Schizosaccharomyces pombe: one gene and its partners. The gene in region 1 interacts genetically with each later gene. Each region holds a gene or a part of one and is shown on either strand. Other genes may lie near its edges.

The links.
Region 2: mutations in atg16 (region 1) and rem1 together harm fitness less than expected from each alone (positive genetic interaction), as found in Schizosaccharomyces pombe (one large-scale study listed by BioGRID).
Region 3: mutations in atg16 (region 1) and ckb2 together harm fitness more than expected from each alone (negative genetic interaction), as found in Schizosaccharomyces pombe (one large-scale study listed by BioGRID).

Annotation. Positions count from the first base shown.
Region 1 is NC_003423.3:3,146,370-3,150,161, forward strand, and holds atg16 (protein Atg16), read left to right. Parts: upstream 1-2,182; 5' UTR 2,183-2,382; coding exon 2,383-2,814; 3' UTR 2,815-3,287; downstream 3,288-3,792. Other genes in the region: SPOM_SPBC405.03C (transporter), read right to left, coding at 1-286; GTPase Ypt7, read right to left, coding at 1,109-1,321, 1,384-1,707, 1,781-1,861. UniProt on the Schizosaccharomyces pombe protein: Stabilizes the atg5-atg12 conjugate and mediates the formation of the 350 kDa complex, which is necessary for autophagy.
Region 2 is NC_003423.3:1,952,658-1,956,498, reverse strand, and holds rem1 (meiosis specific cyclin Rem1), read left to right. Parts: upstream 1-1,786; coding exon 1,787-2,248; exon of another isoform or gene 2,249-2,333; coding exon 2,334-3,080; downstream 3,081-3,841. Other genes in the region: phosphatidylserine decarboxylase Psd1, read right to left, coding at 1-790. UniProt on the Schizosaccharomyces pombe protein: Required for pre-meiotic DNA synthesis and S phase progression. Regulates levels of meiotic intragenic recombination.
Region 3 is NC_003423.3:2,577,149-2,581,858, reverse strand, and holds ckb2 (CK2 family regulatory subunit protein), read left to right. Parts: upstream 1-1,720; 5' UTR 1,721-2,777; coding exon 2,778-3,542; 3' UTR 3,543-4,068; downstream 4,069-4,710. Other genes in the region: SPOM_SPBC2G5.01 (Ca(2+) binding protein), read right to left, coding at 4,114-4,710. UniProt on the Schizosaccharomyces pombe protein: Regulatory subunit of casein kinase II/CK2.

The DNA of each region.
Region 1 (3,792 bases):
GGCTGTTTGGGCGCGTACCAAGATTAAAACTGCTATCGTGTACAGATTCATACATCGACAACTCGGACATTAGCCTGTGCTTTCTAGTTTTTTTTTCACTGAAATACCATGGAATTAAGTAGAAGACAAATGTACCCGTGTTGATATAAGTGATTAAGAAAGGACTAAAAAAGTTATCATCGTCTAATAGGCTGCTTGTGAGAAAAGAACTGATGAGCCATAAAAAGACGACAAACAATAAAAGAACAACGCCTAGTGCATGTTTCCCAATAGCCTGAAGCACCATTTTTTTCTATAAAATTTATAAATAATGATATAATTAATAAGAAAGGAAAACAAGTAAGATAAATTATGGATAGACTGTAAATTGCATTTATAAAGTGAACTGGAAGAAACTAAAAAAAATACTTCTCATCAAATCATTCACAAAAATAAATAATTATAAAATTAGGTCCATTTAAGAAGCTTTTCTAGTAAATCGAGTAATCTCACCTTAAAGTAGTAATGGTGGTAGGGAGGATGAATCTATAACAAACTTATATAAGCTGTACGCAATTTCAGTTTCTCTTACGTTTTCAAACTATACGATGATTAAAGCGCCAAATTGGGATTTTTTGCTTTGTTTATTTTGTTCAAGCCAAAGAACCATTCTTAATTGCTAAATTCCAAGTTATGGATTTTAATTGACTAAATACAACCACATCTTCTGATGCCACTAACTTTGAATATTCTTTTCAACCATATTTCTACAAATGTTTTTAATGTTAAAAGGTTGATATAAATAGAATTCATTTTGCTAGATCAAGCTAGTTTCAGATAAATAATAGAGCATCAATGAAAGCTAACGGCATAAGCAAAAATAACATAAAAGGCAGACACGTCGTACCAGAGGTGCACGGACTTAGTTAATCATTTTGCGAATAAAAGGCCGATCTAAATACTTTAACGGTTTCTATGCTCTCAACACTTAAATGAAGAGCAACATAAATGGGAAGAAAATGGAAATAAGAGAAAAGGCAAAGACTATCATAAGACACCAATCATGCAAATAAGAAAAAACCCATACAAAGAAATGTCCTTAATTAAGTAGCTTTAAGAAGAATAGGGTTTAACAGTAACATGAAGTTTTTTGACTCTCCATATCTAAATGAATAGGATCTGTAAAGTCTGCCGCAATATCGTCAGAATCCATGTTCTCCAGAGCTAACTTAGCCACTGTTTCGAATGCTTCTTGAACATTGATAGCTTCTTTAGCACTTGTCTCGAAATAGGGAATTTCTCCTCTAGCTTGGCAAAAGGCCAATGCTTTTGATTTTGAAACCTGAAATTATTAGCAAGAAATTCTCAGCTTTGTATTAAAAATTCAATACTTTAGACACATACCATCCTCTTTTGTTCTTCCACGTCGACCTTGTTTCCAAGCAAGATAAAGGGAAATGTCTCTGGATTGCTCGGTGATGCTTGAATCAAAAATTCGTCGCGCCAGCTATCTAAAGTTTCAAAGGACTTGCTGTTATTAACATCATAAACGAGGACACAGCAATCTGCGCCTCGATAAAACGCAACCCCCAAACTCTGGAACCGCTCTTGACCAGCGGTATCCCAGAGCTGTAATGTAACGACTTTGTCATCGACCAGAACTTCTTTGGTAAGAAAATCCGCTCCTATGGTTGCTTTATAATCTTTGCTAAACTTTCGATTCACATACTAAACAGATTTGGTCAATAACTTTCATTTCAAACATGACAGTCATAACATTAACATATTTCAAAAAACATACCTGATTCATGATAGAAGTCTTTCCAACACCGCTTTCTCCTAAAATAATAACTTTCAGCAAATGCTTCTTTTTGCCGGCCATATTTACAGCGTAAAAACGAGATAATTCGATATATTATTGAAGGCCAATAGTCCTAATTGAACCAAGAATCCTTTTGAGATCTGCAAAAAAAAATAAATTTATAAATTACTTCTTTCTTTGAAACGGAAATAGTTGCGCACGTTCCCTTGGTGTTTGCTCTGCGAGTATCAAGGCTTGTGAGTCTACCCTTCATATGCCTTTCACGTCATGAGTATAACGAACTTCATCATGCTTGGGTATTTTGATCAAAAGAAATATGGTAAACTTCACTATTTAAATAATTACTACATAGGCAATCCGATGTATACTGACAACTTTCTTATATGCTTGTCGAAAACAGTAATGATTTATTAATACATTGGTAGGAATCTAAGTTTTTATTTAAATTTTATTTTTTCAAGATTTAGTAGTCAATTTTTCCAGTTCTTTCATCTCGTCTCGTATTGAGTAAGTTGCTACCATATTTTGTTTGTGTTGTCTTCAAGAGAATATCACGCAGTCTCCTATCTAACTGGTGTTAAATGGAGTTAATTAAAAAAATACAAGATAGGGATGCTGCTGAGAAAGCGTATTACGATGTCATAGAACCATATTCAGAACTTTTGGAATTCAGTTTTCACAAAGAGTTTGTGAGTGAAGAGAAAGTCACCCAAAGGACTGCGTCAAGCGATTCTCTGAACACCATTGCTAGTGAGAATAATGACGAGAACGTAATAAACCTAGAAGAATTTCGGCAATTGAAAAGGAATTGTGATTTATATCAAAGGAATTTGCAAAAGCTGCAGCTGCTGTTCAAACAGCAATCCCAAAAAAACACACTCTTAGAAAAACAGCTTTCACTACAAACTGAGTTGAATCAGGAGAAAGATAAGCGGGTTAAAATACTCCAAGATGAGCTGTGGGCTTTACAACTTGAGGTAGCTGCTTTAGAGAGGAAATCTCCTAATGCCTAAAATTATCCGGGATTCAATTTTTTGTCGACAGATTATTTTAGTTATACTGTTAAATTTAGAAAACGTCGATTCGCGCTAGGTTCACTAATTATGATTTTACGAAATGTTTGTTATGCTTATGGATTAATATTAAATATTTTCTAGATGATTTCAAGTTAAAAAGGATACTTAAAAGCATAATGAGAGGTCTTCGCTTGTACTCGTCGTTCCAATTTTAGAAGTTACAAGCATAGACTATCTCTTCAGTGGTTGACCGCACATTTTTATGTCAATGGATATGTCCTTTGTATAATGAGGAAACATAAGCATTCAATTACTTGTATGAAGATTTTTCGGCATTAATATCTTCATGAATATCATTTTCTACATGGTCAAAATAGTAAATTTGATTATCTCAATTCAAGTAGCTTATGTTCCCCTTTTTATTTCCTTATCGGTAACGCCTACGAGTAATTGAATTTTCAATCTGTATTATTATTTAAGCGATGTCTTGTTATAAGTATTGGTTGAAAAAATATTATGCATTTCTTTAATACATTTGATTTTCGTCACTTGTATGCTTCTAATGAGATTGGTTCATGAATGACAACGGTTCAACAAAAGTATAATCTAGTTCTTACTGAGTAATCAAAACGAAGAATTATCCGGCGAAACAAAATATGTCTGCCCAAAGCTTTAAGTTGAATTTAATAATAGTTGCATAATTCTTTAAACTTTAGTATTTAGATAGTTCAGAAATATTGTATTGCTTGCAAGATTGAATATAAAAGCTTGGGTATCTAAGCGTAATGAATGTTACTATTTCCATTACTCTGAGCGACAATATGGATAACTCAGTACTAGTTCATAGTCTTTTAAGGTATACACAAAGAAAATTAGAAGGATAGGAAATAGAATAAGAAATATAACTTGTTTTATACAGGGTTATACTCAAAGACAAATATTTGATGCAAGGGTTTAATTTTAAAGACTACGATA
Region 2 (3,841 bases), 1.2 Mb from region 1:
CGAACAACGTAAACTGTGATTTGGCTGCCACTTTTGTTGAGCTTAACAAATCAATATGTTGTGCGCTAGCATCTTTGACATGGCTTGGTCGTTCACCATGATCATGACCCATTAAATCTTGTAAACTGTAATGTATACCATTTAACTTGGCAAACTCCTCTTGACGAATGTGAGGGATATGATCGGGAGAGGGAATAGCATGGCTGCGCTTCAAACGAGCTAACTTCTCATCGCCCAATAGTGCATCAAGGGAATAGGTTATACCTTTTACTTGTTCAAGCTGACCTCCTTCAATAACACCATAATTCAAGATTTTCCCATCCGCAGGAATAACAATTGGGGCATCGGGATCAATTACGCGCGCTCCAGGTTTCAACTTTCTGGTGAAAAACTCGGCCAGATTTTTGTATTGGCGGACATCATCGGGGTCAGCTTCTGTCAAGTTGCAACCAAATATTTTAGAATAAAGGCCAAACGCTGGCACTCTCATCCATAGAGGAATCTCAATACGATTAACATATCCCCACCAACGCGAGAGAGTTCGTAATGGTAAAGTGGTAAGGACATAAAATTGCCATGGTCCCTCCACCTGAACGCCTTTCTTCTGATACGTTTTCTCGTGACGATCTTGAGCCCAAGCGAAGCCAGCTAATCCAACCAAGCCGATTCCTGTCAACCCATATGCTAAGCGGATGATTCCAACCCGTTTACGAGAGTTGTGTTTTCCCAAACTACTATACCTTGCAAATGCACCAAATTGAGGCTTCACATTACGATGAAATTTTAGCATGTTAGATTGTTTTTATGGAATTAAACTTTTGAATGGATTTCGGAGACCCGTTAACTTTTAAACTTCCATATGCTATTTCTTCGAATCCATGTGCTTCTCAAAGGATAGTGGTAGAAGTTAAGTCGTAGTAAACTTGGGATATCAAGTAAATATGGGAACTGTAATATGATTTAAAGTTGTTGAGTTTTCATTTTCTTTCTTTTTTTTTTTTTTAAGGAAATTAAATCAGATCCTTGACATTGTATCAGGCAATCCTACTTTGCGAAAATCGATCAAAATTAGAAGAAAGGAATATTCCTTATAGCATTGTATAAGTGCAGAAGAAACTTTCGAAGCAAGTTTGTAGAAAAATCTTAGAATAGGAGATTCTTTTCAATTACATTTCAATTTGTTTGATTATAATAACTTACGAGAAGGCGTAAATTAATTATTTTTTTTAAGCTTGTTTGATGGTTACCTAATAGAAAAAAAGCTTAATTGTAGCAAGATTTCTTATGTTCAGTTTTCAATGATTCGAAAACGGTAAAATAATGGAATGTTTACAACCGATGAGCGACTGTAAAAACTCATCAATACAAATAATAAAAGAGTTTTTGATCAAAATCCTTGCTTTACTTTGATAACGTTTCGATCAACACAAAAACCTATTTCATGAATTCGGGCATTGTTTGGAATTTTTAAGCAGCATGAATTCTGATATAGTAGAGGTAAAGTTTAGTTTTGGGTTGTGTTTTACTTTAAGGTTACGACCGTTGGTATATGTATATGGGAAATAAACAAACATTTTCACCATCAACTTTTTGTTGACTCACTGTAAACAAACAGAACCTGCTAATAGCATACTGCCATTTTACAACAAAAAGTTCAAGAAAACGGTTTGATTTGATTCCCAATCATTAAAGAGTAAAAGCAATTGTATTGACTGATACTTGCCTACCTAAGAGCTTGGTTGAAACAATTAAAGCGACCGTTTCAGCAACGAGAACCAATTCAAACATGAACTCTAACAACAAAAGAGTTGCGCTTCAAGAAATAAGCAATTATGTTTCCAAATCATTGAACGTAAAAGGCTGGGTGAACGCACAGGTACGAGAAATATCCCTTCAAAATGGGTGTAGCCCATCAGATAAACATTTTCCGTCACAGAGCTGGCATGGAATTAGTTCAATTGAAGAGTCGCAAATACAAAAGGACTATGATAGTTTTTTAGCGTCACCTTTAGAGGAAGAGATAGTCTTTACGGAGAAACAGCTTTTGGTAGATTTGGATGTTTGCTCGATCAGTAACGTTCAAAGTCCTAATTGCAGTGTTTCGGAATTTGGCATAGCGATTGAAGAATCAAATGACAATTGTGCAGAGGAGGATGAAGAGGAGGAATTACAGATGAGATATTCAGCAGATGAATCGGTGTCTGTGGAATACGCAAAAGAAATCCTATCGCACATGGAGAAATTGGAGGTATGAAAAAAATGGGAAGAAAAGGGGGAAGGAAAACAAGAAGATGAAGGAGTTGAAGAAGTTTTTATTTATTAACATTTTTTAGATTCGATTTATGCCTGATTACCGACATATGTCGGCTCAACCATATTATGTTACAGAGATGAGGGCTAGTGTGATCAATTGGATTGTGGGGGTGCATACATGTATAAACCTGCTTCCAGAATCCTTATTCCTATCGATCAATGTATTGGATAGATTTCTATCTCTACAAAATGTGCCAGCATCGAAAATGAAACTTTGCGGCGCAACGGCGCTGTTTATTGCTTGCAAGTATGAAGAGATCCATCCTCCTACAGTGAAAGATTTGGAAATAGTGTTGGAGGGAGAATGGATAGGAGAAGATATTTGCGGAATGGAAAAGTATATGCTTATGGTTCTTCAATATCAACTTGGGTGGCCGGGGCCAGTATCGTTTTTGAGGCTATTGACGATTGTCAACAAATGGGAGTCGCAGCTGCGAATAATGATAAAATATTTTCTTGAAGTATCGCTAGTGGAACAAAGATTTTCAAGTCTAAGGGCGAGTCAATTGGTAGCGACATGCGCCTACACCGGCCAATCTATATTGCAAGAGGAAAACTGGAGCAATACGTTGCCTCAAATTACGGGATATGATTATATGAGTTTAGTTTCGTATGTGCATCTACTGTTGAAATGTCTAGAAAATCCGTTTGATCACCACTATGCGATCTATTCAAAGTATGCAACACCGTATTTCCATGGGATTAGTCGACAAGTGCATGACTGGATTGCGACAAATACGAACTTGATGGCGATGGATGGTAGTTGAGGGGGGGGGGGAAGAGAAAAAGGAGGGAAAAGAGAGAGAAGAAGAAGTAAGATGTAGGAAATTTAATGAAAGATAGATATGAAGAGGATGAGAGAGAGAGAGAGAGAGAGAGAGAGAGAGGGAAGTGTAGGAAAATAGAGAAAAAAGAAGAGTAGTAGTAAAAGTAGAAGAGTAAGAGTAGGAGAAAAAAAATTACACGAGAGAGTAAAGACTGGGGTTATAGAAGTGAAAAGGGAGACGAACGACTTGATATGGACTTTTGTGAAAGAAGCTCGAATTAAGGTGTATCGCTAAGTAAGAAGGTTTGTAAAAAGCGAGGGAGGGTGGGACGGAATAGAGAAGCGAAGGGTCAAGTTGATGTCGAGAGGTTGGTAGTGCGGTAGATGTCGCTAATAAAGGTTTGTGAGAAGGAGAAGAGGAATCGCTACCAAGTACCTTTTATTAAAGGAGTGCCTTAGAATACAGTAAAAGAAAATAAAAGATGAACAAGACAAGGAAAGAAAAGTACCTAAATTGAACAAGAAAAAAAGAATAAAAAGCAAAATTAAATTAAAAAAAAAAAGAAATAAAGAAAATAAAAAAAAGAAATATTATTATTGTTATTATTATTTTAAATTTATTTTATTTTTATTTATTTGTTTTTTTTTTTTAGTAAGGGTATATATTTTATTAATAATAATTTTTACCTAGTGGTCCTATCTATATCTTGTTGTTGTGTGTATCTAGATGTCTATGCTACCAAAAATCTGTAACCTAATTTG
Region 3 (4,710 bases), 570 kb from region 1:
AGCAGTTAACGTAATGTGTTACTATACATTATATGATAAATCGTAGCTTATTGGGAAGATTGATAGGGTAAACCCCCATTCATAGTCAAATATATTAGATGATACAGTAAACGGAGATAGAATTTCTAGAAAATCATCTTTTTATAAGCCTTAATATGAACATAAATGCAGAAAAACTCCAAGTTAGCAATTCGTAAATATTTAAACTACTGAGAAGTATAACAATAACAATAATAATAATAATAAACAGTGCAATGATGGTTGAACAGGATATACGCCCTGGAGTTTTCGTGTAAGTAAACATTCATGAATCTTTGGATACTTAGTGTTAAGTTCAATTCACTACATCATCTAAAAATAACAAACTATCCTATTAGAAATTTGTTAATGATGATAAAGCGAACGTATACAATTCTTGTATAAAACAAAAAATTTCAACTTAATAAAATAAAGACTTTTTGAAGTAGCGAGTTGTTATATTATATATTAAACGGTAACAAACACAAATTGATTATTTCAATTATTGATTTTGCTGATGATATAAGCAGTGGCATCAAGCTCCTTCTCCCAAAATATTTGTTTGTGAATCAAATCTTCGAGAAACTCCTAGTTAAAACAAATGTAAAAAGTAAAATGATAAATGTACAAATAATAAAAACTTATAAATGGGGTTGTATGAAACATTGTCATCTCTTGCTTGTGAAATTGTTGTTGGCGCTGCTTTTTTAATATTCTGAGAAATTAATTTTGCTCTCAAAATTGCTTATTTAATATTGGCTATCATAAATAATTTTATTATTTATTTATTTTATTTTTTATTTTTTTTACATATTTGTTGTCTGTATACCCATGCTCAATTGTGTCAAATACCCTAATAGGTGCGATTTTTGATGAACAATTGAAGACTTTGTTTTATTTCCCACTATAGAAAATTAACACCCGGTAGTTTTGAAGGCTTTACTTATTTTAGCGACTGTGTGCTCTAATTAATTACAAGCTCGATTCGTGAAAACTTCCTTTTTGCCACGCAGACTTTTAATTCCGAAATTTACACAGCCGAGAAGCTGCCTACAGTAAACGAAGTAATAATAAATGGGCATTGCTAAAGAATTTTGATGTTTTTGAGAAGTCGCATTCTACAATTTAAATTTTGGTAGAAAATATATTACAGAAAACAGTACCAAGTCAGCTAACTTTTAAGCCGTAACGCGTATTCCCTTTGGTGTTTGTGGTCTGCTAGTTTCTTAATCCAGCATTCAAAAACAAGGTAATTTAAGGTCTAGAAACATTATTTGTGACTTACAGATCCGACATTTAAAATGGCAAAACAGTATCTCGACTAGTTGGTTAAACAAATTTTAGCCTCAAGAATGTAGGACCCTTCTTATAATTTTGTTAAAGGAAAAATTCAAAAAACATTCATGTTGTCGTGATAGTGTATTCCATGAATAAAAATCACGATTATTTACAGAAAAAAAAAATATTGACATTGTATTTTAACTATACAGTTATTTAATAATATAATTGTAGCCAACCGTAGTAATTGGTGTTATACTTTCACTCCTGCTGATCCTATTTTCCTCGAATTTTCCTAGTGGACGATGATATATTGTGCTTTAAGAACCGCAACGAACTCGTAATTTTAGTTTTACTTTCGGTAGTTTGAAATTCCTTATTCTAATCATATATAATGCATTCTCCCTTGCGGGCAAGCAAGTTCACAACTTTTCGGGTACCTCTGACCCTTGTACAGTCTGTGAATAGCAGTCATTTGCTATTCAAAACGAATATTGTTAGAACAAGAGCTGAATTTCCTCTTTTCATAGACTAGAAGAAGTTTACTTTAACCGGTAGGTAGAGAAATTTTTCCCCTTTGAATTGTCTTTCGTTCTGAGTCATTATCATTGTGAAATAAGACCGATTTTAGAAACAATTATTTTCGTTTTCTTCTTTAATTCTTCGTTTTTCACTCGTTCCTTAAAAACCACTTTGGTGTGAGGAACTTCAATTATTTAGATTGCCTTTAGCTTAAAGCAGGTTTATGGTCTCATTGAATATTCTAGTATTCTATACTATTGTTGATTTGTTGAGAAGTACGGACTTGTTTCGATTCCGAAATCTACATCCGTAATTCGAGATTTCTAACCAAGCCTGTTGTTCGGAATCCGTTATAGCTGTTGGTTTGAAACCATTCCAAAAAACAACACATTCTATTTTCTGAATTTCCTTTATTCATACTCTAGAGATTCTGTTAATTAAAAACTGATATACTCCTAGTTGTTTTATTATCGTTTCGTTTTTTCTGATACGATAATTTAACGGCTATCCTTTTTGATTATCCAAGAGCATCAAAACAGAGGCTTTGCATCCTTTTGTTTGTTCTGTTTTTTTTTTTTTTTTGCTCTTATATTTTTGCAACCGAACTTCAAGGGTTACAAATTTTAACCTGAAGAAGGATTTTCTATTTTGCATCTTCAATCGTTTAATCGGCTGACCTATTTATTCTAAATTCCTTACAAAAATCCTTTTTACCTTGAATGTCACACCTTTAAATATTGAAAAGATTACGGAGTTGTTTTTATTATTATTATTATTATTATCATCATTTTCGTTGTTAATTTTAATCTTTTCCTTCGATATTCTGTTTTTGGCTTTTTTATTTTACCTTTACTTACCTACGCCTATTTTATCCTATTTCACTTAATTTCCCTGTTTCAGGAGGTTTTTTTATTCGAAAATTATTTCAAAGAGTGCGTCTATCCTTTAATCCTTCCACAATGTCGCGAAAAAACCTCATAAAACTTAATCATGATCCTACTGTCACTTACAGTACCAAAGATGATGCTGATGAATTATTTGATGATCTCTCTTCTTCTCCTCTTCATGAAAATGTTAGTTGGATATCTTGGTTCTGCTCAAGACCAGGTCGTGAATACTTTGTCGAGGTGAAGGAAGATTTTATCGAAGATCTTTTCAATTTAACCGGTCTTAATTTGGCTGTCCCTTTCTATAATGAGGCTTTGGACCTAATTCTCGATCGGACAGCTCCTGACACATTGGAGAATTTTGATATGGACGTAATTGAAACGAGTGCTCAAATATTGTATGGTTTGATCCATCAACGTTATATTATTACCCGGACAGGATTACATCAAATGGCGGAAAAATACAGCATGGGTATTTTTGGTTGCTGTCCTCGTGTAAATTGCTGCTATACTCATGTTTTGCCTGCAGGACTTTCTGATATAGTTGGAAAAATGCCTGTAATGTTATTTTGCCCTAATTGTCTTGATTTGTACGCTCCTTCTAGTTCTCGATACAAAAACATAGATGGCTCTTTTTTTGGTGCTACTTTTCCTCATCTGTTTTTTGAAAGCTATCCTGAACTGAATCCTAAGCGCTCAATCCCTTGTGGTAAAATTTATCAGCCTAGAATTTATGGCTTTAAAGTCAGCGAATTAAGTAAAACAGGACCTCGAATGCAATGGCTTCGTATGTACTTGGAAGATAGTGGTAGCGATTCGGAGTCTGAAAGTGATTAAAAACGATGCTTCATCTTATTTATGCCATAACCTAATGGTTCGTTCCTCTAAGCCTTAATAATACTTTTATTCCTATAAAATATCCTTGAAGTTTCTTTTCCGTCAAATTCAATTATCTAGTTGATGTCTCATTGCTTTGCATATAAGAAAAAACAGAATTTGGTATTTTTTAATATAATGTCCGCGAGGCATTTGAATTAGTAAATTCACACTAAAGAGCTTGATGAACTTCCAAAGGATTTAATATTGGTTACCTTTAAAAGTTGGGTAAAAAAAAGTTCCTTATTTCTTGTTGATTGATAATATACTTTGTTCATCAATTGAAGTAGCAGACTAATCATACATGTAAATTAATACAAGACCAAAAAATAAGGGTGCGCAAGTGTAACCAAAGGTGTGCTTCCTCAATGAATCCGATAATTCTTAACCATTGCATACATACCTTACAACTTAAATACATTTAATTGACAATAATGAAAAAAATTAAATAAAAAAACAAACAAACAAAACTGCTTTTGTATTAGAGAGAAAAATAGATGTTAAGAGAAATCGAAGTTTAGCTAAATACATTTTACATCTTCTTTGCGCGTCTTCTCATTTTGCGTTGACGTTCCCTCTCCATGCGCTTTTTTTGATCAGACTCAGAAAGCTTAGAAATATCGCCAGAGGATTTAACTTTTTTCTTGGCGGCCTTAGCGGCTGAAGCATGAACAACTTGCTCAAAGGCGAGTTTACGGGCAGAGGTAAGTTTCTTCGAAACTTCTGGTCGCCATTGGAATTTTGGACAACTATCAGCTACCAGCAACAAGGAATTAAACAATGCACTTCCCGTAGCATTGCTCAAACCAGAAAGGGATGTGATTTTTTTAATTCTGATTGAAGCTTCGATACGAGGCTTCGTAACATAATCCTTTTCGGTAGCAGGAGGGACTGAAGGTTGATCAGTAACGATGAAATACTCAAGGTTTTCAATACACTCGTTAATTGAAGACATAAACTCGGGAATTTCGAAAATAGCTTGACTACACTCATTGTTCTCAGACATTAAAACATGAGTTTCCGGTAAGTAAGGAGAGGAAGAAATGCGGGTAAAGCTTAAGTCGTAACGTATTTCACGAAGAATGCGCATACAGTCTTTATGAACAATGGCGAAAACAAAACGCTCAGC